Linked DNA regions of Cricetulus griseus. The protein of the gene in region 7 interacts with the protein of the main gene of each other region in a pairwise test. Links are inferred from orthologs where the notes say so. Each region holds a gene or a part of one and is shown on either strand. Other genes may lie near its edges. The genes, in order: Amotl2, Wac, Txlna, Nup54, Lnx1, Mos and Krt15.

Region 1 (3,500 bases), on a different chromosome or scaffold from region 7:
CAAGCCAGAGAAGCATGAGGACACTGGAAGACTCCTCAGGGACAGTCCTGCACCGTCTCATTCAGGAGCAGCTCCGCTATGGCAATCTGACAGAGACCCGCACACTACTGGCCATCCAGCAACAGGCCCTGAGGGGTGGGGCTGGAGCTGGGGGCACAGGGAGCCCCCAGGCCTCCCTGGAAATCGGACCGCCTGAGGACACTCAGGTGCTACAGCAGGCCACCAGGCAGGAGCCCCAGGGCCAGGAGCATCAAGGTGGAGAGACCCACCTGGCAGAGAACAGGCTGTACCGGCTGTGCCCACAGCCCAGCAAGGGAGAAGAGCTGCCCACCTATGAGGAGGCCAAAGCCCACTCACAGTACTACGCGGCGCAGCAGGCAGGACCCCGGCCACATGTTGGGGACCGAGATCCTAGAGGGGCATCAGGAGGCAGCCGACGACAGGATGAGGCCCTGCGGGAGCTGAGGCATGGCCATGTACGCTCCTTGAGTGAACGACTTCTGCAGTTGTCCCTGGAAAGAAATGGTGCTCGAGTCCCCAACCACATGAGCTCTTCACACAGCTTCCCTCAGCTGGCCCGTAACCAGCAGGGTGCTCAACCCCGAGGACTGCCATCTGAGGGCCCAGAGCCCCGTGGACCCCCACCTCAGTACCCACACGCTGTACTGGCTCATGAGACTGCGGCTGTCACTGACCCAAGATACCGTCCTCGAAGCAGCCCACACTTCCAGCATGCGGAAGTCAGGTGACTACCCAACCCTGGATTTCTTCTAGTCCAGTCTCCCAGGAGAACCCCAAGGTCATATACCTTGGATCCTAGCTGGCATGATCCCAGCCCCACTGCACCCACACCAGCTCCTGGGGCTGTCTGCTCTTGAGAAGGGAGAGCTGGAGGTTAGAGGGACTTAACTAGCTGACTTTACTTAGTTGATGTGATGTTAGCTGCCAGTTGTGGTAGCACACTTGGGTGAGGTAGGAGGATCCCAAGGTGACTGCCAGACCTGGGTGACATAGTGAGACCTCTGAAACAAAAAGAAACTGACATCATTGCTTTAACTCAAAATATAGGTAGCATTGTCTATAGCATTCAAGTAAGGAGGGTTCCCAGGGGATGGGAATGGGGTTTAAAGGTGAAATTTTTTAGAAAGAACTAACAAAAGACAATGTCAAGCTGTTTCCAAGTTAAGTAGGCCAAAGGTGGGACTTCCTGAGGGTTTTTAAAGAAAAAAAATAATGGACTTTTTTGTTGTTGTCATTGGGAGGTGTTGCTAGAGAGGCCACCTCTGTCACAGCTGCCTTATCTACCAGCTATTTACTTATTATGTTTTTCCTTATACTTGTCACCTTGAGGATTCTGGACCTAGGTGAGCCTTTTTTTTTTAAGTTAATTTTTTGTGAAGACTCAGGATGTTGCTGGTCTTGGCTTGACTGAATGTGAAGTCTTGCAGGTGGCATATAATGGACTTTTAAAAGAGAGTTGCATAACAATACCAGCCTTAGAGAATGGGTCACAAGAGCCGGGGTGGCAAACTGGGAGCCCAGTAAATGCAAGCAGGAAGCCAGATCATTGCAGGAGTGCAGGTTCCTAGAAATGAGAGTCTACCTTAGTCATCTTAGCTGCATCTTCTTCTTTCCTCCTTCCTTCCTTCCTTTCTTGCTTCCTTCCTTTCTTTTTTTAATTGTTTTTGAGACAGGGTTTCTCTGTGTACCTCTGGCTATCCTAGAGTTCTCTGTGTAGACCAGGCTGGCCTCGAACAGTTCTGCCTGCCTCTGTCTCCCAGGTGCTGGGATTAAAGGCACATGTGGCACAGCCCGCCAAGGTCCTTCACATTTTCCATAGAACAGGCACCATGCTCCATCCAGCCCCCTTGGAGGCGGGCTGAAGTAGGGTTCCAGGAGGCCCCACCTGGAATTTGCACACCCTCTGGGTTCAAGGTCAAAGTCTGGCTCACTTCACACCTGCTGGGTTTTCATTTAGTCACTCATCTCCCTCCAGCTGTTATTCTTTACTCTGGAAAAGAGTGGTGACCCCTGTCTGGAGGGACCAGGGATGGAGCCTTATGGGTTTACTCTGCCTCCACACCCCTAGACACCCACCTTATCTGCCTTCTCAGAGCAGTTCAGGAAGAGGTTCTTCTTTCAGACCAGCCCTATTGAACCCTGCCAGGAAAAGATAATATCCAGGCAAGGAAGTGGACTGTTTGCAGGAGAACAAAAAGCTGGGGAGAGGGGAAGAGGAAAATGGCAGAACCAGGAGCAGGGAAAGCAAGTGTAAAAGGAAAGGAGTCACCATTCTTCTTGGAGCTAAATCATTCTCCAAGAATGCCAGTTGTGTCTTTGTGTCTGGGGGGGGTGGGGGGATGGGGAACACACGACAGTTTTCTGAGGCCACCCTGGGAGTGATCACACTTAGCAACAAGAGAGTCTAGTCAGTCCAGTGACAGTGCTCTAACCTGCTCTTCTTGGAGCTGACAGTAGGAAAAAGCACATGCAGGCATTTCCTGACCAGATGAGGAGTAAAGAACAGGGGAGCCCTGAGAAGGGGGAGGGGGAGGGGGGTGTGATAGACCCAGAAACGAAATCCAACTTTGAGGAGTCTTCTAGGATTTAGAAAATTCTCAGTACAACTCAAGCAGCCATGACACTTTGAGTAGCATGGCCTCAGGAAGGCTCTCTGAATACCCATCCCTCACTCTTTGTTCTTCTCTTGATAATCAACACCTAAGGATGTGTTACACCTATGCCAGGGGCCAGTAGAACACTGCCCTGGGCTCTGCTGCTGAGCTAATCCAGAGGTGGCCCCTTGTTTGGAAGTGCCCGCCAGCAGAGACCAGGGGCTAAACCTTTGTGGAGTTTGTTGTCTGCCGGCCATTCTGTCAGGCCTCACCTTTGTGGCCAGGGACTCTTGTGACTTGTCAGACAAAGGTGACATGACACTGGGCAGCCAAGGTGCTCATTGTTGAAGGCCCAGCAGCTGGGACTGAAATCCCCAGTTTGTCAGGCTGAGCTCAGGCTCAGCACCTGCCTCTCTGCTCTAATCTTAGCAGGGGTCTCAGGAAAGAATTTCATAGCTGTGGGTAGCCTAGCAGGACCCTGAAAACAAAGAGGAGAAAACTCAAGTGAGTTGTTTTAGCTGATTTGAACAGAGTTCAGCTTCTAGGCCTGGAAAGCTGTGTGGATTCCATCCCAAAATAACCTTGTGTGTGTGTTAGGCTGGGTGTTGTTGGCACACACCTTTAATACCAGCATTCGGGAGGCAGAGGCAGGCGGATCTCTGAGTCCAAGGCCAGCCTGGTCTACAGAGCGAGTGCCAGGATAGGCTCCAAAGCTACACAGAGAAAACCTGTCTCGAAAAAACAAAACAAAAAAAAAAAAAAAAAAACAAACAAACAAACAAAAAACCCTTGTGTTATTTGGAAAGGTTAAGAGGGCATTTTTAAAGATACTTTATTTAGGATGCCCAGGGTTGCTTGAGCTGATCCCTAAGACCTTAGCCACAG
Region 2 (3,500 bases), on a different chromosome or scaffold from region 7:
CTTAGAACTTGAGAGTCTGTTCTTGATCTTAAGAGTTAGAAGAACTGTGGTTTAGGAAAAAACATACTCAACAGTGAGCATCCTTTATACAACTGTCGAGATAACGTCACTTCCTTTTATTCTTAGGGTATTTCTTGTTTTGGGTCTTTCTTTAGGACATTACAGTTTGTTTTTTTTTTTTTTTAAACAAATGATCTTTGTCCACATGAGTTAAAAATGTCCTCCTTTTTTATTTGTAAATGCACAATACCAGAATTTAAATTGTTGGCAGAGTTTGAATCATTTCCTGTGCTTCTGATGTAATTGCTGGTGATAAGCACATTTTTCTAATTATGCTTACATGTGCTGGACTTCTCTTTTAAGAATAGCATGTGAATGTGAAATATTATTTTACCCTCATTAGTGTTATGTATGGGATGAACAGTTGAGTATATTAAACCATCTTATATCATTGAAAGCCCTAGACTAAAACACTTTAGAGCCCACATTAGCTAGCAGCTTTAGTATTCAAAAAACTGAAATTAATGAAGCCAGTGTTCTTTTGTAATTGAACCACTGGGCAATTCTGTTAATTATTTGAATCTGTGATCCAAATTTTTAAAGAAATAGACATTTGCCTTTTTACTTTTGGAAGCATTTTTTTGAGTAAAATGTTATAACTATTTTTAGAATTTTTTAAAATACAATTTAATTTCAAAGAATACATTAAACAAGTTGAGTATAGATGATTATTTATAGTTGTTAAAACTCTTGCTGTATTGATAATTAATATCATTGTTAAAACTGCAGACACTAACTGGGCTTGCAGTTTTATGAAAAGGAACATAATTACAGTTATGTTGCTCAACTAGCTGATGTTCATGACACAGGATTCTAACAGCATCTGTTTTTCTTCCCCTTCTGTCATTCCAACATCTCTTTTGCGAACTGTGAACTACAGTGGAAGACAAGCATTCCAGCGATGCCAGTAGTTTGCTCCCACAGAATATTTTGTCTCAAACAAGCAGACACAATGACAAAGACTACAGACTGCCAAGAGCAGAGACTCACAGTAGCTCTACGCCAGTACAGCACCCCATCAAACCAGTGGTTCATCCAACCGCTACCCCAAGCACTGTTCCTTCCAGTCCATTTACGCTTCAATCTGATCACCAGCCAAAGAAATCATTTGATGCTAATGGAGCATCTACTTTATCAAAACTGCCTACACCCACAGCTTCTGTCCCTGCACAGAAAACAGAGAGAAAAGGTATGCTGTTACTACTAGAACTGTAGGTTGTAAAATATTTTTTCCTTCTGCTCAAATAGGACTCTTAATAATAAATTTTTAGTCTTTTAGAGTGTTACTAGGTAGATGTAGGTCTAAAATTAATGGTTTGGGTTTTTCTTTTAATTAATAATTCTCAGCACTCAACATTTTGTTTTTGGTCTTTGACACTAAATCCAACTATTTAGTTCATACTGCTTAGTAGTGGTTTTAATAACATGTCAAATTCATCTGGCACAGTGCATTATTGTTTAGATAAAATATTTTTCAGGTTTTGTGGCTATTAATAGTTTCGGACACTTATTCTTAAAGACATTTTAAAGCATGATTTTCCATATGAGGCAGAAAATAAATTGAATCAGACCTTCTATTAGATCTCAGATCTGACAACTGGAAGGAAATATTACAACTCAAACTGCATTCATATAGCTTATTATAATATCCTCAGCATGTTAAAAAGTTAAAGTTGTAGTAAGAGCTTCTTGGAGTTGGTAGACACCACAGGCATCTTCAAAAGTCCCCTTGCATAAGGCATTCATAACTCAAACTTGATAGGGTTTTCAATCTCGGAATTATAAGAGACTCCATAAAGAATCCCAATTACATCTATATTAGAAATTGCTGATTCACATCATGTTGATGTGTTGGTCTGTGGTAGTGTGCTATTTTTGTTTTGTTTTGTTTTGTTTTCCCACTGTGTGACTTCAGTGCCAGCAGCCTACAGTCACAGAGGTCAAGTAATGAGTTTGCTCTAGCATGAGACACTATGAGAGGCACAGGGTGACAAGCTTACCATAAATCCAAATCCCTGCATAGTGTGATGTATTAAATTATGTATGAGCAGGATCTTTGGTTTTCTGCCCTTCAGTGATGCTCTGTTCTTGGGCCTTGACAAACAGTAAGACATTTGTGGTTTGTTGTACAAGGTGGTGGGAGGGGACAACTGAAATAGTCGTAACAAATGTCTTAGCATTGGAAAAACACCTGCATTGGCTATTGTTTTTAAATGTACTTGAAATAAGGGAAGAGTGTATGCGTTGTGTTTCTAATTGAAAGTTCTCACAACGGGCGTAATTAATGGAGCTTGTTCTTCATTAACAGCAGCTTGTGTTTGCTTGAGGATCAGAAGTGTGAGAAAACATGAACCCCAGCAGTTTTGCAGGAAACAGTGTTGGTGTGAAACAGTGTCCTAATGTTTTATCTGTACCTGTTGAGGTGACTGTGAACATGTCTTGGTTAGCTTGTCTTATACAAACAAATAATAGACAAACATTAGATATATCAGAAATACAAACATGTTTTTATCAAGTAGAACCCAATGACCTTTTTTAACTGCTCTAATATCCCTTCTAGTTGTAAAGCCCTTTTTAGAGTTGTGATATCACAAAAAAAGCAATAGATGTGAGTTCTTGTACTTTATTCTGGTCAAGGAAGCACATGTTTAAAAAAATTAATTAGGAAGTTTTTCATTTAGTAATTTAAAGGTGTTCCTGCGTATTTTGCTAACACAGAGCAGCTATGGAAGCAGAGCTGCTCAAAGATTTCATGCAATCTGTAAGCACATCTAAATCACATAGCTAACAATCTGGTTCATAGATAGCTATTAATATGCAGGTTAACAATTCTTAGTCTAAAATTCCTTATCCTGTTTTATGGAATCCCCAGACTAAGTAAAATATGACGGAGCCCTAGACTTGTTTAGGTAGTGATGGCCTTTTGTTGCTGACATAAAATGAACATTAACTGGCTAAAGTGGACCAACCCAAACATCCTGTCTCTTGTTTTAAAATATCTTTAAGGGTACTAAATATCTTCATAAAAAAGGAGATCTCTGAGATCGAGACCAGGATAGTCTCCAAAAAAATAAACAAATGAACAAATAAATAAATAGATGAATTTTTTAAAAAACGAGAGATTGATTTAGGAAAAGAGAGAAATAATTGTTGAATATAAGCTTGTCAATGTGCTAAAGTATTTTTTGTAATCAATTTCAATTTGGCCAACTTAAATTGTTTGCATAGTTTCAAAGTATGCTTAACTTCTACATTTTTGGTGGCATTTTTAAAAGTTTAACAGAAACAACCTTGTAAAAAGAATACTCAAAATAATTGCTTATAATGTAAGCATGGAATATACCAAAAGTGCTTGTTTACCTCTTTATAAGTTGGTATATTTCACTGTATTAGACATTTAATAAAATTCTGTTGACAGATGAAAAAAACCAAGATTGGGA
Region 3 (3,960 bases), on a different chromosome or scaffold from region 7:
GAGAGCTACTGCCAAGCTGGTGATGACAGAGGTGTCCAGTACACTGCCTCAGAGAAAGCCTGTGACGGCGATTATTTCTTCTGGGAAGAAAGTGGTTAAGATGGGTGCTGGTGTCAGGCTTCTGGCTTTGAATCTGCTATTACCACTCAATATTGATGCAGCCTTAGATTATATAACCTTTAGCTGGGCATGGTCGCCTTTGTCTTTAGTTCAAGACCAGTTTGATCCTCATAGGGAGCTCCAGGTCAGCCAAGGCTACACATAAGGAAACATTGTCTCCAACAGACAGCAAGCAATTAAAAAAGCCATCTCGCCTTTTCCATACTGTCCTATATTTCCTAGATCACAAAGTATCCTGTACTTTCTCCGAGTAATTATGAGGGCCAAGCTATTAGATACAAGAAGAGAAGACAGGGGCTAGAGAGATAGCTCAGAGGTTAAGAGCTCTTCCAAAGGTGCTGAGTTCAATTCCCAGCACCCACATGGTGGCTCACAACCATCTGCTATGAGATCTGGTGCCCTCTTCTCATGTGTAGATATACATGGAAGCAGAATGTTGTATACATAATAAATAAATAAAATCTTAAAAAAAAAAAAAGAATAAGAGAAGACAGTGACGCCGGGCTTTGGTGGCGCACGTCTTTAATCCCAGCACTTGGGAGGCAGAGGCAGGAGAGTTCGAAGCCAGCCTGGTCTCCAGGATGTGCCAGGATAGGCTCCAAAGCTACACAGAGAAACCCTGTCTCCAAAAACAAAACAAAAACAAAACCCCTCTGTTGGAATGGGGGGGGGGATAGAATGCCAGGCACATGACAAATTACTGGTTTAGGAGTGGAACAAAGGTCTCCTAATTCCCAGCTCAGCCTTCTATCCCTCTTCGAGTCCTCAGAGGTCCTAGAAACAGTCATACACGTCCACAGGGATCAATGGAGAAGCGTATGAAACAAACAGCCAAGCGCCAATCACAGCTTCTGCACTCGAAAGGATACTGACGGGAATCTCTAGACTGTACTGCAGAATTTCAGACCTGCAGCGGGTAGAGACCCTAAAAAGGGAGGCATCTCGGGAATTGTGCCCCGCCGCAATGCATGAAGGGACTCGTAGTTCGTTCCCGCTCACGACTCCAAAGCCACCTTGGCCTCGTCTTTCCCAGCAAGCTCCGCGCCAGCGTTAGCTCTTCATTGGCTGCGGCAGGAGCGGGCGGTCCTGCTGGCAGCGGTTACCCGGGTTTCCGGTGCCCGGCCAGAGCGGGGGACGCCATCGGACGTCCGTGGTGAGGTACGTCTGTTGGCGGTAGGTGGGACGAGCTCTTCTGAGGGTCTGTGGCCCAGCTTGCGTTGGCTGCAGAGGAATAACTAATTCCGTGCGGGGGTCTGTGGCGATGTCGCCGCCTTGCGCATGCGTCCGTGGGGCTAGAGGGCGCGCGGGGTGTGGGTGGCTTCCGCGCGGGCTGGCGGGCGGGCGGGCGCGCGCGCCCGGGGGTCCCACGTGGGGCCGGGCCGGGGGCCGGTGGGGGCTGGAGCGTCCCGCCACGTCATCGTGCGGCGGGGAGCCAATCCCGCGCTCGCGTTCCGAGAGGGAGCGGAGTGGTGCTGCTGGGAAGTGGCTTTCGGGAGAAAGGAGGCCTCTTCTTCACTCTCCTCAGGGCCAGCTCCTCCGACACCCTCCCTGCAGGGACCCTCGAGTCTCCGCCAAGGCCGGCCAGTTTGTTTGAAGCTTGGAGCGCCTGGCGTTGGGATTTCTGATCTAGGTTGTGAAATTTTTTGAAGTCTTGAAAATAGCAACTGTGTCGTCTTCAAAGGATCTACCCGTTTTCTGCCTTTGCAGATCACAATGAAGAACCAAGACAAAAAGAATGGGCCTGCCAAACACTCCAACCCGAAGAGCAGCCCCGGGCAACGGGAAGCGGCACCAGAGGGAGCCCAGGGACGGCCCAGACAGACAGCTCCTGCGGCGGAGGCTGAAGGTTCCACAAACCAGGCTCCTGGGAAGACCGAGGGTGTGTGCCTGCTCTGCTTTTCCAGTGGGCAGAGGGAGGAGTTTCTGGGACTGGCCTCGGTGCTGAGGCCAGTGTTTACCCAGGAAGGAGGAACTATGGAATGAAACAATACCCATTCTGTGTGGGTCTCGTGTTTCCCAGGCAGGTGATGAAGCTTCCCTCCCTTAGCCCTGGAATGGAACCTTGGGAGCATGCTCTGACTGGTTTAAATTAAATGACAACTGAGGCACCCCACAAACAAAGTCATGTTCCCAGAAAACACTTGCCAGTGTGTGGGGGGGGGGTAATTGTCCTTCATACTTGAGACATTTCTGGAACTATAAAAATAACCAAAAATGCGTTTTGAGTAGGAAAAAAAGGAATTAGAGGTGGAGTCTCTACTACATGCCACCCAACCCTGGTGTGGTGCTTTATCTACATAGTTGTCTTTTTTGTTTGGTTGTTTGGTTTTGTGTTTTTGAGACAGGGTTTCTCTGTGTAGCCCTGGCTGCCCTGGAACTCTGTAGACCAGGCTGGACTTGAACTCACAGAGATCCACCTGCCTCTGCTTCCCAAGTGCTGGGATCAAAGGCTAGCACTATTACTTCCCAGCCATAATTGTCTTTTATGGTCATAAGAAGTATGTTTGGGTGATAATAATTGTATCATTTTATAACAAAGTAAACTTAAGGTTTGAAAAAATTAAACTGAGGCTCGGCGTAGTGGCCCTCTCTTTTAGTCCTAGCTCTTGGGAGGCAGAGGCAGGTAGCTCTCTGACTTTGAGGGCAGCCTGGTCTACATAGTTCCGGGACAGTCAGGGCTCTGTAGAGAGATCGTGTCTCAACCAAATAAAACAACATTTATCCCAAACTAGTGTATTTGTCTAGGGTTAAAGAAAAAGAAAGTTCAAGCCAGGGATGTAACCATCTTATTTTCATTCTGTGTCCTAATCTTGTTGCTGTAGGGGCTCAAGCTAAAGCAGCCAAGTCTGGGCCCCTGTGTGATGTGTCTGAGGAGCTGAGCCGGCAGCTGGAAGACATTCTGAGTACATACTGTGTAGACAACAATCAGGGAGGCCCAGGCGAGGAGGGAGCACAGGGTGAGCCTACTGAGCCGGAAGATGCAGAGAAGTCCCGAACCTATGCAGCAAGGAATGGGGAGCCTGAACCAGGGATTCCAGTCATCAATGGCGAGAAGGAAACCTCCAAGGGGGAGCCAGGCTCAGAAGAGGTCCGAGCAAGTGATGAGGTTGGAGACCGAGACCACCGAAGGCCACAAGAAAAGAAGAAAGCCAAGGGTCTGGGTGAGAGGGCAGCTACTGGTGAGGGGAGGGAGTTAAGACCTGTCATTTCATGAGCTAGCCTGCTCTGTCAGAACTCAAAGGAATCTGCTTCTCAAAACAGAACATCCCCCAGTTTAGTCAAAGCCATGACTGTGGAGTAACAGCATTGAGCTGTTCAGATTGCTCACCTGGGCAAGGCCTCTTGTCCTTGGAAGCAAGTGAAGGCAACCTGCTCTTTTCCTGTGGACATGTTCATGCTCCACTCCTGGGTCTTAGTTTCCCTATTTAGAAAGCAACAAAATTGGGCTACACCAAGGTAAAGATCTCAAATGTCAACATTAACCAGGTAAACCATGAACCTCTTGAGAATGAAGAGAGGGTCTACTTTATCCAAAAAATTAACTTCTACCTGTTTAGTTCCCTGCCTTCCCCCCCTCCACCCCCCCCAGGGTTTCTCTGTGTAGCTTTGGAGCCTATCCTGGCACTCGCTCGGGAGACCAAGCTGGCCTCGAACTCACAGAGATCCACCTGCTTCTGCCTCCCGAGTGCTGGGATTAAAGGCGTGCGCCACCAATGCCCGGCTGAGTTCCTTGCTTTCTTTTCTTTTTTCTTTATTTTTAAATTTATTTACTTATTACATATACAGTATTCTGTCTGCATATTTGCCTGCATATCAGAAGAGGGCACCAGATCTCATTTA
Region 4 (3,625 bases), on a different chromosome or scaffold from region 7:
TGAAATTAAGACAGAAGAAAAAAAAAATGGGAGAGTGGTGTTATGTTTGTATGTTCCACACCCAGCATCAACAACTACAAAATTGTTGCAGCCAAACTGGAAAGTTTTAGTCTCTCGTCTTTACAGTGTAACCTCTGCTTCAGTAGGATTCTAGACATGGCGCTTTCCCATCACCACACGTTAGTACAACAGCAAGATTCACAGTGTTCTCTCTCATAACATCCCCCAATGTAAGCCAAAGCACCACACAGGAGTGAAGCATAGTTACAGCATTTGGAGAGGTGTCAACAAGCTGCGGCCCAGGTCTGTCCTGCAGTCTGAAGTTGTATTCAAAAACGGTGGTCTATAGAAGAATCAGATTATGTAGTATTCAATCACTGTTTTCAGATGCTAATTTATGAGGGACCTCTTCATCCTAGATGATTCCATTTGTTATATTCTAGTCAAAACATGTCAATACTGATAAGTCCTTAAATAAAACACCAGAGGAAAGAATTACATAAAATTGCAAATTAACAATTTATTTTATAGATTTCATGTTTAGAAATAAAAAGTTAAGAAAAAAGTTTGCCAAAACAGTGATTTTGCTAAATCCTAATTGGTTAGGCATGTTCTGTCAGTTCCAAATAAGTAAAATAATATAAAAATATATCTTCACGTCTTCATAGAACAAAAGGAAAACCACACAAATCATTAAATACTTTAGGATTTTTTTTACTCTCCACTGATGACCTCACAGATATAAAAGCTGAAATACATTCACACTCTGAAGCATAGTCAACAGCCACATAATTACAGTTTATTTTGTTAGGATTTTGTGCTATGGAAAAAGAATGGAGAATAACCATTAAACACTGTCTATGCTTAATGCTGCTGTAAAATGTACAGCAGTGCATATACTTTGGATAATTGTGTAGTTTTTTCTTAAGTATACTTTTAGGTATAAATTTTCAGATTCTCTTTGAAGAGCTTTGTGGTGTCCATTTCAGATTTAATGTCCAGTAGTTTCTCAGGAACCTCAAACCCGCCAATGAGGAAAGGACTTTTTCCCATCCACGTGGTCATCGTAAGGCCTGAAGTAGCAAGATGACTTTATGAACCTCTGACAGAGTCTGTAAATGGTCAGCAAAAGACACCGCCTCTAGTATGGATGGTTTCATTCAATCCATGTTCTACCAGTTTTATATCTTCTAGGTCATCTTTTATGATGCTAATCAGGTGGCTGAGGCCTTCCTGTTGTTGTTTCAAATGCTAGAATGAATTTGGAAGAAAATAAAACGTGAGTGTACTGTTCTGTTAAACTGAAAGCTATCCATTAAGTACTTACAATACAGCACTCATTGACTAAACACAACAAGCATGCACAGTGAGACAACTATCATCAGTACAAGACACTCTAAAACCAGGGAAACCCAGACAAGCATTCATCGACAATATCTTTAAAATGTGTTTTCTGTATTTTTAGGGCCTTGAACCAATGCTCCTGCCTCCCAAATGCTGTCTGTGACTGTGGGTATGCACTATCACAGTTTCCATGGTGCTGGGGATTGGAGCCAGGGCTCCAGACACAGTAGGCAAGCACTCTACTAACTGAGCTACATCCCTGATCCCAGCTTCTCAATTTGATATACATACAGATCATTCTAGATAAAATGCAGCGAGAGGATTTGGAGGAAGCCTGAGATTTACCTCCCCGCTGACCTGAGTACTGCTATTGCCTACCCTTTGACACTTCTACTATCTAAATAATATCGGGGGGGGGGGGTAGGGGGAGGTTGATACATTTGGCTCTTTACTGTGCCATAACATGTGGACCATTTTATGTGTACAGGGATGTTGTGTATGTTCACATCAAAGTTGGTCATGGGTTACTCTGCTTCACAGAGGGGGAATCATACATTTGTCTTTGTATGACCACATATTTCAAGGTCTATCCATGTTGTGGCATGTGTCAGAATTTCCTCCTCTTTAGGAGTAATACTCCACTATATGTGTATGTACACAGGTATATAAAAGTTTGTGCAGATCCCTGCTTTCAACTTCCTGGGGTACATATATCCAGAAATAGAACTGGCTGGGCGTGGTGGTAATACCTTGAATCTAAGCACTCAAGTGGCAGAGGCAGACAGATCCCTTAGTTAAGACCAACCAGGGTTACATACTGAGACCTTGTCTGTCAAAAACAAACAGATGGAGAACTGCCAGATGAGATGTTAATTCTACTTTTTATTTAGCTTTTTGTTTGTTTGTTTGAGACAGGGTTTCTCTGTAGCCCTAGCTGTCCTGGAACTAGCTATCTAGACCAAGCTGGCCTCGAATTCATAGAGCTCCACCTGTCTCCGTCTCCCAAGTACTGGGATTAAATGCTGGTGCCACTACTGATGTTTTTTTTTTATATTTCATGTTACTTAAAGGTGCCAATTTGAGGAGAAATTGAGGTTACAATTTCTCCACATTCTAATGGGTGAGTAACTCTGTTGTTGAACAGCAGCCACCCTGACAGATATGTAGTTGTAAGCTAACACTCACCTGCTTGATCTCCCGTAACAGGTCTGCATCTATGTAATACCTTTCTTCAGATTTCACAGCTCCAAAGTGATTCTGCATCCGGATCTGGGACATCAGTTCATTTAGTCGACCCTAAAAATGAGTTAGAAACAAGCGCTAACAATCACAGCAACTCCTAAAGACGGTGGCTGTTTTTGATAAGATAGCCTTGAAACCATCAGTTAAAACTCCCGGGTCTTGAAGCACTAATGCAAGCCAAAAGTACCATGACTGAGAATTTCTTTTAGAAAGTTTAATTAGTGGAAACAAATGCTTAAGACACACAACATTACAGGTTTCTGTGTGATGACTACTTATCCCTATTCAGCTCTACCTCAAACAGCCTCGAGCCAGATAGGCTTCCAAGTGCTTACTTTGAACTGAGTAGGTGCATTTAGTTCCCCCTGGATAGTGTCCAGCTGAACCCGCAGTTGCTCTTCGTCAGCCTGGATGGCGTAGCCGCTCTTCCTTTGAATCTCCTGTTTGATTAGGACCTGTAAAAGACAAGATCAGTACCAGCCAGTAGAATACTTTTTACGAACAATTATGGACTTGCTGGCAAAAACTAGCTGAGAATTAATATGTTGGGGGGGGGGGGTGCTTTGAAATCCTAGTACTTGGGAGGCTAAGACATGAGGACAAGTCTGAGGCTGGCCTGAGGAACAAGGAGAGTTCTAGGACAAGTCTAGGCTGCATAGCTGAGACCCTGCCTCAAATAAACAGTAAAAACCAAAAACATTAAAAAAGGGGGGCAAAAAATCCAAATCCTTTATATTTTTACTCTGAAGCGCTTTTATATCCAATTAGATTTCCTTTCTTTCTTTCTTTTTTTAGATTTTATTTATTATGTATACAACATTCTGCTTCCATGTATATCTGCACACCAGAAGAGGGCACCACATCTCATAACAGATGGTTGTGATCCACCATGTGGTTGCTGGGAATTGAACTCAGGACCTCTGGAAGAGCAGTCGGTGCTCTTAACCTCTGAGCCATCTCTCCAGCCCCCCCCCTTTTTTTTTCAAGACAGGGTTTCTCTGTATTGCTTTGGAGGTTGTTTTGGAACTCTCTCTGTAGA
Region 5 (3,500 bases), on a different chromosome or scaffold from region 7:
GCCGTGATGGTTGTGCCTCTTTGACTAGGATGAGCATGTCTGCAGCTGTAGTCCAGGCTCACCCCTCTTAGTGCATGTGAGTGGGTGTGAGGCAGCTTTGCTGGGAAAGCTAGAGTCCCTAGATTTTCCAGGATGGACAATCAATGAACCTATGAGCCAAGTTACTTCTAAGGCATAATCCAGTTCCACACATTCTAACTGGTTCTTTGCCAGTAATGAAACTGATTTATGAATTGTGTCATTTTGTGGACTCAATTAGTTGATAGATGCCGATTCAGTGGTATAATTAAATATCATCGGAGGGACTTGCTCATTGGCAAGTAGACCTCTGCTATCCACTCCTGTTCTGGGCTTCTCTACATGAAGGGAGGTATGCAGTTTACCTCTGCAAGGATGTGTTAATAACACTGTTAATAACACTGTACAAGCATATGAAGAGGTTGCCTAGGTAGAGGAATTGTGCTTTTAAAGAGCTCAGATTTAAGACAAAATAAAATTTCTCAAGTACAGTCACTCTGCCTGCTGATCTAGAAGTTGGGGGTGGCATGGTACAGCATTCTTTTCTAGTCAGCAAGCTTTGTGGCCACCCTTTGTCATTTTCCTCCTGTCTACAATTATTCTGTATGAAAAAGATGATGTATAAGAGGCACACACCTCCTCAAAAGAACCAAGAGATAAATGAATTAGAAAGCAAGGAGAGGAAGGTACCTTTTAATATCTCTTGCTATTCGGCAAGCACCTGAGTGAAGAATGATGAGGGGCGAAGAGAAGTGACATACAGGAGTATTTTTGCATAAAGTGGGCACTTAGCTACTGCTGGCTCTGTGCAGCACAGAGAGTCGGTGACTACAAATGGTACCTGATTTCCATCTCCATGAAAGCTCAGGTCCAGGCCTATTCTTGATCTGCTCTGGTCTCCCGAGCCAGACACTAACTCCTGTTTTGGTCTCCGTATGTTGGTAGCCTCCCATACACCAGGCTCTGTGTAGGCATGGGAGGACTTAGTCAATCATTCTCACTGTGTGCTAAAGAAAACAGGAAATTAAAAGAGCGAAATTGTAGGTTGTCTTTGGCTAAGTAACAAACAAAACTAGCTTATATAAGGGAACAGGTGAACATTGGTAAGTAATGTGTAGAGACTCCCAACAAGACATTCCCACATGCTCTACTTATGTGCTAATTGAGACCCAGTCTTGTGTCACTATGAGTTCAAGAGACATACTGATCCTCACTCTGTCCACATGCCCATTCAGCCTCTGTCCTGTCACACATGGAGCAGAATCCCATTTGCACTCACTGAGGATGCTTCTGCTTCTCTGGCCTCAGGTGACATTTTATTGAATGTGAACGGGATTGAGCTCACAGAGGTCAGCCGAACAGAGGCCGTTGCCATATTGAAGAGCACATCCTCCTCAGTGGTACTCAAAGCCTTGGAAGTCAAGGAACAGGAGCTCCAGGAAGACTGCAGCCCAGCAGCCCTGGACTCCAACCACAATGTGACCCCGCCTGGTGACTGGTCCCCATCCTGGGTCATGTGGCTGGAATTACCACAGTGAGTCCTGATTTAACACCCCTACAGATTATGTTTCTTAAACCACTCTTTCACCGTCTTGGGCTGATTCATGGGCACGAGCATCTTACTAATATGACCCAGTCTTGTTTGTGGGGCTGTTTGAACAAATTCTATCTTCTGTAGGCAAATGAAAGTCCGAATAGATATCTTAGGGAGTGTGTGAAAATCTATGGAGCACCTTCTAGATGCTTTCCTCGTTTGCAGAGTTATAAGGTGGCTTGTAAAGCAGGGAGTGTAGCTGACTGATAAAAACTCAGCCTGTGTCTACACTCACAAGCTGAGCTCTGCTCAAGTCATTTTCATCCTTGCATGGAGATGACTGGGAGCTGTACTAGCTGCAACCTCACTCAGGTTTCTAGAGGCTCTGACTACACATATAGAAGTAGAGCAGAACAAGGTTAAGTGTCTGGTAGTTGAGGATTCTTCGCAGAACATCTCTCTTCTGTGACTCTCCTGGAAAGTTCTTTAGGAAGCAGCTGGGTTGTCATTTTACTGAGGTACAACTGGAGCCTTACAATGAACTATAAAATGACCTGACCCGCTGACTTGAGATGAGGATTTGGACAGAACCCCACAAAGTGGCTATGTACATGAATTGTGATCATTCAAAGGATAGAAAAATTTGATGTTTGCTTCCCTGGACCAGAGCAAACTTTACTGGCCTTTAGATGTAAAGGTGTAGCTTAGATGTTAAGAATGGTGTCACTGAAGATGGATGTACTGGAGTAGGATGAAAGAGTGGAAGCAGGTGGGGTATTTGGTTTTGAAACTTTTTCTTGAAGGTAGAGATAGCTCTTACTTAGTAGCTTCACATACAATTTGATCCCGTTGTATTTGAGTCTCCACTAGTTGATTCATTACTTTTAAAATCAGTAAGTCTTTAAAAGTCCTTAGAAAGTGGAACACTGAGCATTGAGGCAATTTAAACACTTTACAACTGAGCCTAAGTAGGAGACTATTATGTTGAGTAAATTAATACACACATACTATGTGAATTGGTGTTTTGCCATGGGTGTCATGTCTGCTGGAACTGGGATTAAAGACAGTGATGAGATGTCATGTAGGTGCTGGGAATTGAACCTGGGTCCTCTGAAAGATCAGTCAGTGCTATTAACCGTTAAGTCTTATCTCCAGCCCTAAATTTTTCTTTAAAAGAGATTTTGGAACTATAATCCCAAGCCCATTTGTACCTTTTGTTTGAAAGCTACTTTGCCATTCTCCTCACTGTTCACATGTGCAAGGAGAACATCAAGCCCATGGCGCCTTACTTTTCCCATGAGCCACCTGGCATTGGCAGCAATTCTCTGCTCCTGCTGGAATGTCTGAACTGCACTCATTCCCTCCAAGAGTAAAAGGAAATGTGATATGATGGCAACACAAGAAGATAGGGACTTCCAGAACCTCAGAGCCTCTTCCTATCCTTCCTTTCCTCCTCCTCCCTGCAATATTTAATGGCATGGTGAGGAGGTCAGAGGGTACCAGAGCAGAGGGAGCAGGAAGTCAGTATCCATCCTTTCCAGAACCTTCAAGTCACTCAGCAGAGGTCACCAGCATTACCAACGTCTTGAGTATTTTTTTCAGGGAAAGACTATGTCAGAGGTTGATCTTTTCTGCAAAAGGCTGGCGAGCTTGTGCTTAGAGAGTATGGGGCCTTGGCAACCACTCACTGCTGTTGTAGCATAAAGGCAGCCATAGACCATCTGTGAATGAAAGCTTGTGGGCTTGGCTGCCCATGGCTTAGATAGCAATGTACTCACTCAAACACAATGGAGGCCTGTGAGCTCATATGGTACAAAGCTTTTTAAAACTTACAAAGAAACCTAAGAATTGATTTTGGGAATCACGATAGTCAGGGCACCACCAATGTCCACTGCCTCCAGGGATGGGTCAAACTGTACATCTGTGAAGCCAGGTGGCAGGTTAGGTG
Region 6 (2,711 bases), on a different chromosome or scaffold from region 7:
GGCTCTCTTTATTAACTTGCCTTCTCAAAACCTGTAGTTCTAAAATCAGAAGCACATAGCTGTCACATAAAAAGTGGTCACTTATCACATGTAAGCAAAAAAGAAAAAAAAAAAAAAAAAGCTTTACCAAGTGCTGAAAAGTGTAGCTCCTGAGCACTTTCAGGGACTGTTTAAATGACAGAGTAAGATTGTTGCTCTCTTCTTTTCCCCCAAAGATATGGCATGAAAATGAGCACTGTATTATGAAAATTGGAAATGATGAGTCTGGTTTGGTGGCCAGGCCCTGAATTTATGTTTAGTGCCTGCTTTTCTGTACTATAGAAGGATTCCAGTGATTCTGTGCCATGTCTGTTCCTCCTGGTTTTCCTGTGCTTATTTACAGCTATGGCCATCACACTCACTTTGTTCCTTTTTCTCTCCCTCCAAGTCTGTGTTAAGTTCCAGTAACTTGTTGGCTGTGGTCTAGAATCTGGGTGACCTGACTTGCCTGGAAAGGAAGGACTGGTAGGAAGTCGGGGTGTTGCTAAGAAGTCTTCTTGCTGTAGAAATCAAATCCATCAGAATCCCCCTTCTGATGAACTTAGGAGGTGTGCATGTTTTGTATCACTGATTCTATTTTGATTAATGACATTAAAGTTACAATTTTTAATTCTTATGAAGGTTGCACCTAATAATCTTGGCAAGTGGTTCGACAAATGCCTGCTATTTGTATTGCAACTCTTGCATCCAATAGCTGCTTGGAGTGATTTAACGCAGCTGAGGAGGACTAGCACTAACAATCATTATAGCCTGAAAAGTGCACAAGTTCACTGTGCTTTTTTTCCTTCTTCAGTCTAAAGACCGATTAATGCTCATCAGATGCTACTTGAAAATCGTTTTCGTTGTATTATGATTAAAGAAATAGTTTAAAGGAGAGGTGAGCCCTGAGGCAGGCCAGTGCTATTTAACCCGTGAGAGGTCGTTTTACTAAGGATTTACTTTAGCCATGCTTCGTCTGCACCCCACCCCCATCTTGCTGAGTGATAGCACAGATGTAGCTCGTTTTGAGAATACAAGGAAGGAGGGAAAGGGGCTAGGGTGAAATCAGGAATCTTCAACCATGCTTCCAGACTCCCCAGGGTTGTTCCTAGTCATTTCTACCTAGTGCCCCTGGTGCCTTTCCTACCTGAAGGTGTGATGCCATCGCCTCTAGCCCTATGTCGCTACCTCCCTGGTGAGTTGTCACCGTCGTTGGACTTGCGACCCTGCAGTAGCCCCTTGGTGGCTCCGGGGAAGGCCGGGAAGCTCTTCCTGGGAGCCACTCCTCCTCGGGCCCCGCGGCTGCCACGCCGGCTGGCCTGGTGTTCCATCGACTGGGAACAGGTATGCCTGCTGCATAGGCTGGGTTCTGGAGGGTTTGGTTCGGTGTACAAAGCCACTTACCACGGTGTTCCTGTGGCCATAAAGCAAGTGAACAAGTGCACCAAGAACCTACGTGCATCCCAGCGGAGTTTCTGGGCTGAACTCAACATTGCAAGACTGCGCCATGACAACATAGTCCGGGTTGTGGCTGCCAGCACGCATACGCCCAAGGGCTCTAACAGCCTGGGTACCATAATCATGGAGTTTGGGGGCAATGTGACTCTACACCAAGTCATCTATGGTGCCACCCGCTCTCCAGGGCCTCTAAGCTGCAGCCGAGAACAACTGAGTTTGGGGAAGTGCCTTAAGTATTCCCTAGATATTGTTAATGGCCTGCTTTTCCTCCACTCACAAAGCATTTTGCACTTGGACCTGAAGCCAGCGAACATTTTGATCAATGAGCAGGACGTCTGTAAGATCAGTGATTTCGGCTGCTCCCAAAAGCTGCAAGATCTGTGGTGCAGCCAGACGCCCCCTCACCACATAGGTGGCACCTACACGCACCAAGCTCCGGAGCTCCTGAAAGGAGAGACCGCCACGCGCAAAGCCGACATCTACTCTTTCGGCATCACCCTCTGGCAGATGACCACCAGGGAGGTGCCATACTCAGGCGAGCCTCAGCAGGTGCAGTACGCTGTGGTGGCCTACAATCTGCGACCGTCCCTGGCGGGGGCAGTGTTCACCTCCTCACCGACGGGGCGGAAGTTGCAGAGCATCCTCCGGAGCTGCTGGGAGGCCCGCGCCCTGCAGAGGCCGGGTGCAGAACTGCTCTTGAGGGACCTGAACGCTTTGCGAGCAGCATTGGGCTGACTCCATCCAGCCTGTGCTTTTTGTTTCTGATTATTTTTAAAGAAGTAAGGGTGGTGTGGAAGAAAACATACCCCTAGGACATAATTTTAGAAAATAAAGTTACTGAAAACTTCAATCTGAAGGGTTTTTTTTTTTTTTTTCCTGAGAATAAGGAGGCTACAGATTTCATGAGCATCACTGCTGGTAACAAACCTGACCCCCTTTATAGTTCTCTGTCCCCTTTCTGGGCTCCTGACCGACTGTATCATCTCCACAATATTGCTGTTAGTTGGATTTGTTACTGAGTGGAAAACAGAAGAGAAAGGGAGGGGAGAGTAAGGAAAGGAGGGAGGGAGGGAGGGAGGAAGGGAGGAAAGAAAGAAGGAAAGAAGGAAAGAAGGAAATGACATGACTACTAATAGGTGTGGTGAAAGAGAAAGTTTATTGTAGATAAAAGGGAGACATAGTCAGAGGCAGGGACATCTGGAAAAGTCCATAGTGAATATGATCCTGAGCCATGG
Region 7 (4,215 bases):
CCCATAAAGTGAGTGTCCTATACACAAAGAGGCTGAGCCTTGAAAACTGACGAGTACAGATCTTCACAGGAGTCATTCATAGAAATGGGGTTTAAACACAGGCCCAAGGAACGCTGGAGCCCTATTCACTTTCTCGTATTGTAGCTCTCCATTAGAAGCCCTCCTGTGGATTCTCTCCAGTCTGGGTGGCACTGCCCACAGTGCCATTGTCTTAGAGAAATAGGGCTGTTAGAGCTGGTGGCAGAAGACCCTGTCCTTTTTGGCCTCAGTATTGCAGTGACTGATTCCTTGGCCTCTGAGCTCTGATGTGTTCCACCTGCTTGCCAGCCCCCCTTCCTGCCTCCGCCTTCCTCCCTGTACTTAGGCACGCAGAGCAGAGCCTCTAGCTCAGCCCCTCCCCAGCTGGCAGCAGCTGACAAGGCAAATGGGGGTTAATCTGGCCCCTGCTAAGCAGCGACATGTCTCTTGCTGAAGAAGGCGGGGGACTTTCTGGAACTCGCCTGGGTCTTATCTGCAGAGGTTTGCCCCAACGCGTCTTGGGAGCAAGCAGAGGTTCAGTGACATGTGCAGTTGGCTGGTGACAGGACCATCAATCAGACTCCTGTCAGCCTGAGCCTTCTGGGCTTTTGTGAACTAGCCAGGACCCTGGGCTGGGGGGGGAACTGAAGAGGTAGGAGGGACTTCTGGAATTGGGGTGGTGGGAGGGCTGTGAGAGGAGAGAGCATGCCCAGGTATCAGGGATGGGAGAGAGGGACAGGCACCGGCTTTTTTGGTCAACTCGTTTGGAAGTTGACTTGAGACCCTATTAGCCTGCACTGTGGTCACCTGTGTTCTCATTCCCGGGGACTTCCATGTCCCGAAGGCTATGTATAGGGCGTTTGAGTAGGTAGTACAGAGCAGTGGTGGGAGAAACTGAAAGCAGGAAGCTTTCTACCTGGGGTGAGGCTCACATGCCAGCAGTGGGCTGGGGTGGGAGGCAGAGCTGGCCTGGCTGCTCTAACGGGATGGGACATGAGGGAACTTGGGTGCTATGCTGAGGGTTTGCTCTTGTGGCTCTCTTCTCCTTCCTGGAGTGAGAAATGAACCTGTAATCCAAGTGTTAAAACCATGGCCTAGAGCAAAACCCCATTAATTCTGAATCATCTCTCTTGTTGCATTAAGAAAAAAAAAAAAGAAAAGAAAAACTCACCACAAGCGAGCCCTGTGGAGGTGTGCAGGCAGCTGTATTTGTCTGGAAGGCAGAGGAGTTGGCTCCACTCAGGGGGAGGAGGCAAGGCCCCCACCCCCTTGAAACAGTATATAAGGAATCCCAGGCTAGGGGCGACAGCACTGCAGCCTGGTTTCAGCCCAGCTCAGAAGCTCCTGCTAGAGTCCCTCCTGCTTGAAAAGGACACGAAGGCTCAGGCTGCCTGACCATGGCCACCACATTCTTGCAAACTTCTTCCACCTTTGGAGGTGGCTCTACCCGAGGGGGTTCCCTCCGTGCTGGTGGAGGCGGCTTTGGTGGAGGGAGTCTCTACGGGGGAGGTGGGAGCCGAAGCATCTCTGCTTCTTCTGCTAGGTTCGTCTCCTCGGGGGCAGGAGGGGGATATGGGGGCGGTATGAGTTGTGGTTTTGGTGGTGGTGCTGGTAGCGGTTTTGGTGGAGCCTTTGGTGGGGGTTTTGGTGGTGGCTTTGGTGACTTTGGTGGTGGCGATGGAGGTCTCCTCTCTGGCAATGAGAAGATCACCATGCAGAACCTCAATGACCGCCTGGCCTCCTACCTGGACAAAGTACGTGCCCTGGAGCAGGCTAACACGGAGCTGGAGGTGAAAATCCGAGACTGGTACCAGAAGCAGAGCCCAGCCAGTCCGGAGCGAGACTACAGCCATTACTTTAAGACCATGGAAGAGATCCGGGACAAAGTAAGTCCTCATATATATGTCAGACAGAGGGAAACAGGCAGTAGGTGCCCTGTACACATATGCAACAGCAACATTGCTGTTGACTAAGAGAGTCCTTCCCTGCTGTGTAACCTGGCAAGGCTGGGATGCACCTGCTTCCCAGGCACATGTGGGAACACACGTGTTCCACTTGGCAGTGCTGGGGGAGGGGAGGGAGTGGTCTTGGGAATCTGATTTGGATACACAGGATTGCAAATGAGGGCAACAAAAGAGAGCAGCTCCTTCTCCCTGCCTCACAAAAACTTTCAGGGATTTTTGCAACTGATTGCTTTAACTTTGTGACCCGTGTGCTGTTCAGGCACAACCTCAAGAGTCCTAAATGCCAGGGCTGTTTACTTCAGGCCTCAAGGATGTCTTTATTGTTGATCATTGCTAGATCTTAGGAGACCAGGGAACTCAGTGGAGGCTGTGCCACCCCCTCACTTTCCCTTTTAACTAACTGGATCTGTTTTCCTTAGTGGCAAACACGTTCCTTAGCTGCTGTCCAAGTTCCCAATGACTGCAATGTTTTGGAGATGAAGGGCTCTGTCAAGGCACGCAGGAGGCAGCCACTGTGAGCTGTGCCCAAGTAGGCTGGTATAGTGTGTCTCCCGAGAGTCCTGACCTGACAGAGCCAACTGTATCCATTGCAGCACGGTCTTGACTAGCCATGCCCCCAGGCAATCCCAGGCAATACTGCCTCGTTAGTTTTCCATTCCTTGAAGATGCCACAGGGAAGGGAGCATGGGCCAGCACAACTGATGCACACAGGAAGAGAAGCTGGGCAGTAGTTGGCGAAGGGGGTCGTGCAGCAGCCCTAAGGTACAACTCTGTCTCCTGCAGATACTGGCGGCCACCATTGACAACTCGCGTGTCATCTTGGAGATTGACAATGCCAGGCTGGCAGCGGATGACTTCAGGCTCAAGTGTGTTCCCATTTCTCCACCCCTGTCCATTTCACCCCCTCTACCTAGCCTTCCTCCTCTATGACTCAGAACCTGGGCCCCTCACCTTTCCTGACTTTGGCTCCTCTCCCCTCCCCAGGTATGAGAACGAGCTGGCCCTGCGCCAGAGTGTGGAGGCCGACATCAACGGGCTGCGCAGGGTGCTAGACGAGCTGACCCTGGCCAGGACCGACCTGGAGATGCAGATTGAGCACTTGAATGAGGAGCTGGCCTACCTGAAGAAGAATCACGAGGAGGTAACAGCAAGACAGGGTGGTAGGAAGAAGCCCAGGACAGCCAGTCTTTTGTCACAGTCCTCTGAGGGCTTGGGGATTAAGAAATGTACCTGGGGGGCCCCATGGAAGAGAAGGGGCACTAATCTCTGGTAATCTGGACCCAAGGCCAAGCCATGTGTGAACTGCAGAATTGGTTTGCTTCATGGGCTTATTATCTCAAGGTCCTTGTTTCTTAGGACCCAGAGCAAGAGAGATCCTCAGAACTGAGGGGTCCATGTGTTCCAATGGGGAATAGAGATAGGGTGGTGTGATGTGCTAAGGTCACATTGTGAGTTAGAGACAGTCAGAGTTAGCCCTCAGGACTCTCGATTCTTTGTCTGCTTTATAGCCTTGTCTCTAAATGGTTGTCACTCCCACCCCTTGCAGGAGATGAAAGAGTTCAGCAGTCAGCTGGCGGGCCAGGTCAATGTGGAGATGGACGCTGCACCTGGGGTGGACTTGACCCGCATGCTGGCCGAGATGAGGGAACAATATGAGGCCATTGCGGAGAAAAACCGTCGGGATGCAGAGGCCTGGTTCTTCAGTAAGGTGGGCCTGACACCCCCAGCTCTGCTCTCTCCCTCCTTCCCACTCCAGAGGCCTCTGAGGAGGCCCATGAGGCTCATGTTTCTCATGTGTGACTTGCAGACGGAAGAGCTGAACAAGGAGGTAGCTTCCAACACAGAAATGATCCAGTCCAGCAAGACGGAGATCACAGACCTGAGGCGCACCATGCAGGGGCTGGAGATCGAGCTGCAGTCCCAGCTCAGCATGGTACGGTCACTCTCTCCCTACTGGGTGACACATGGCCAGTAAAGCCTCACCTCACACATTCCTGTCACCTCAGGCAGTCCTTACCACCCTTCCTGCTCTTCTCCCTCCAGTGGGTTGCCTTCTAGCCCAATGGGTTTATGCATCTGTCACCCCACCAGAAAGCCGGGCTGGAGAACTCTCTGGCAGAGGTGGAGTGCCGCTATGCCACACAGCTGCAGCAGATCCAGGGGCTTATTAGCAGCCTGGAGAGCCAGCTGAGCGAGCTCCGCTGTGAGATGGAAGCTCAGAACCAGGAATATA

What was found.
Region 1: the proteins of Krt15 (region 7) and Amotl2 interact in binary tests that used the Homo sapiens proteins (3 or more experiments, as listed by UniProt). The two-hybrid records come from large-scale screens. The link is inferred for Cricetulus griseus from reciprocal best matches to the Homo sapiens genes KRT15 and AMOTL2.
Region 2: the proteins of Krt15 (region 7) and Wac interact in a two-hybrid assay, tested with the Homo sapiens proteins (4 studies listed by BioGRID and IntAct). The two-hybrid records come from large-scale screens. The link is inferred for Cricetulus griseus from reciprocal best matches to the Homo sapiens genes KRT15 and WAC.
Region 3: the proteins of Krt15 (region 7) and Txlna interact in binary tests that used the Homo sapiens proteins (3 or more experiments, as listed by UniProt). The two-hybrid records come from large-scale screens. The link is inferred for Cricetulus griseus from reciprocal best matches to the Homo sapiens genes KRT15 and TXLNA.
Region 4: the proteins of Krt15 (region 7) and Nup54 interact in binary tests that used the Homo sapiens proteins (3 or more experiments, as listed by UniProt). The two-hybrid records come from large-scale screens. The link is inferred for Cricetulus griseus from reciprocal best matches to the Homo sapiens genes KRT15 and NUP54.
Region 5: the proteins of Krt15 (region 7) and Lnx1 interact in a two-hybrid assay, tested with the Homo sapiens proteins (3 studies listed by BioGRID and IntAct). The link is inferred for Cricetulus griseus from reciprocal best matches to the Homo sapiens genes KRT15 and LNX1.
Region 6: the proteins of Krt15 (region 7) and Mos interact in a two-hybrid assay, tested with the Homo sapiens proteins (2 studies listed by BioGRID and IntAct). The two-hybrid records come from large-scale screens. The link is inferred for Cricetulus griseus from reciprocal best matches to the Homo sapiens genes KRT15 and MOS.

The regions. Positions count from the first base shown.
Region 1 is NC_048597.1:210,962,578-210,966,077, forward strand, and holds part of Amotl2 (angiomotin-like protein 2), read left to right. Parts: coding exon 1-745; intron 746-3,500. UniProt on the Homo sapiens protein: Regulates the translocation of phosphorylated SRC to peripheral cell-matrix adhesion sites. Required for proper architecture of actin filaments.
Region 2 is NC_048596.1:206,962,511-206,966,010, reverse strand, and holds part of Wac (WW domain-containing adapter protein with coiled-coil), read left to right. Parts: intron 1-940; coding exon 941-1,249; intron 1,250-1,959; exon of another isoform or gene 1,960-2,079; intron 2,080-3,500.
Region 3 is NC_048595.1:23,393,122-23,397,081, forward strand, and holds the start of Txlna (alpha-taxilin), read left to right. Parts: upstream 1-1,160; 5' UTR 1,161-1,278; exon of another isoform or gene 1,279-1,293; intron 1,294-1,827; 5' UTR 1,828-1,833; coding exon 1,834-1,999; intron 2,000-2,942; coding exon 2,943-3,281; intron 3,282-3,960. UniProt on the Homo sapiens protein: May be involved in intracellular vesicle traffic and potentially in calcium-dependent exocytosis in neuroendocrine cells.
Region 4 is NW_023276807.1:157,219,161-157,222,785, forward strand, and holds the end of Nup54 (nucleoporin p54), read right to left. Parts: intron 3,042-3,625; coding exon 2,922-3,041; intron 2,641-2,921; coding exon 2,530-2,640; intron 1,252-2,529; coding exon 1,123-1,251; 3' UTR 501-1,122; downstream 1-500. UniProt on the Homo sapiens protein: Component of the nuclear pore complex, a complex required for the trafficking across the nuclear membrane.
Region 5 is NW_023276807.1:141,117,660-141,121,159, reverse strand, and holds part of Lnx1 (E3 ubiquitin-protein ligase LNX), read left to right. Parts: intron 1-1,326; coding exon 1,327-1,552; intron 1,553-3,500.
Region 6 is NC_048595.1:156,239,046-156,241,756, forward strand, and holds Mos (proto-oncogene serine/threonine-protein kinase mos), read left to right. Parts: upstream 1-1,176; coding exon 1,177-2,211; downstream 2,212-2,711.
Region 7 is NC_048600.1:112,452,083-112,456,297, forward strand, and holds the start of Krt15 (keratin, type I cytoskeletal 15), read left to right. Parts: upstream 1-1,415; coding exon 1,416-1,904; intron 1,905-2,765; coding exon 2,766-2,848; intron 2,849-2,966; coding exon 2,967-3,123; intron 3,124-3,528; coding exon 3,529-3,690; intron 3,691-3,789; coding exon 3,790-3,915; intron 3,916-4,073; coding exon 4,074-4,215.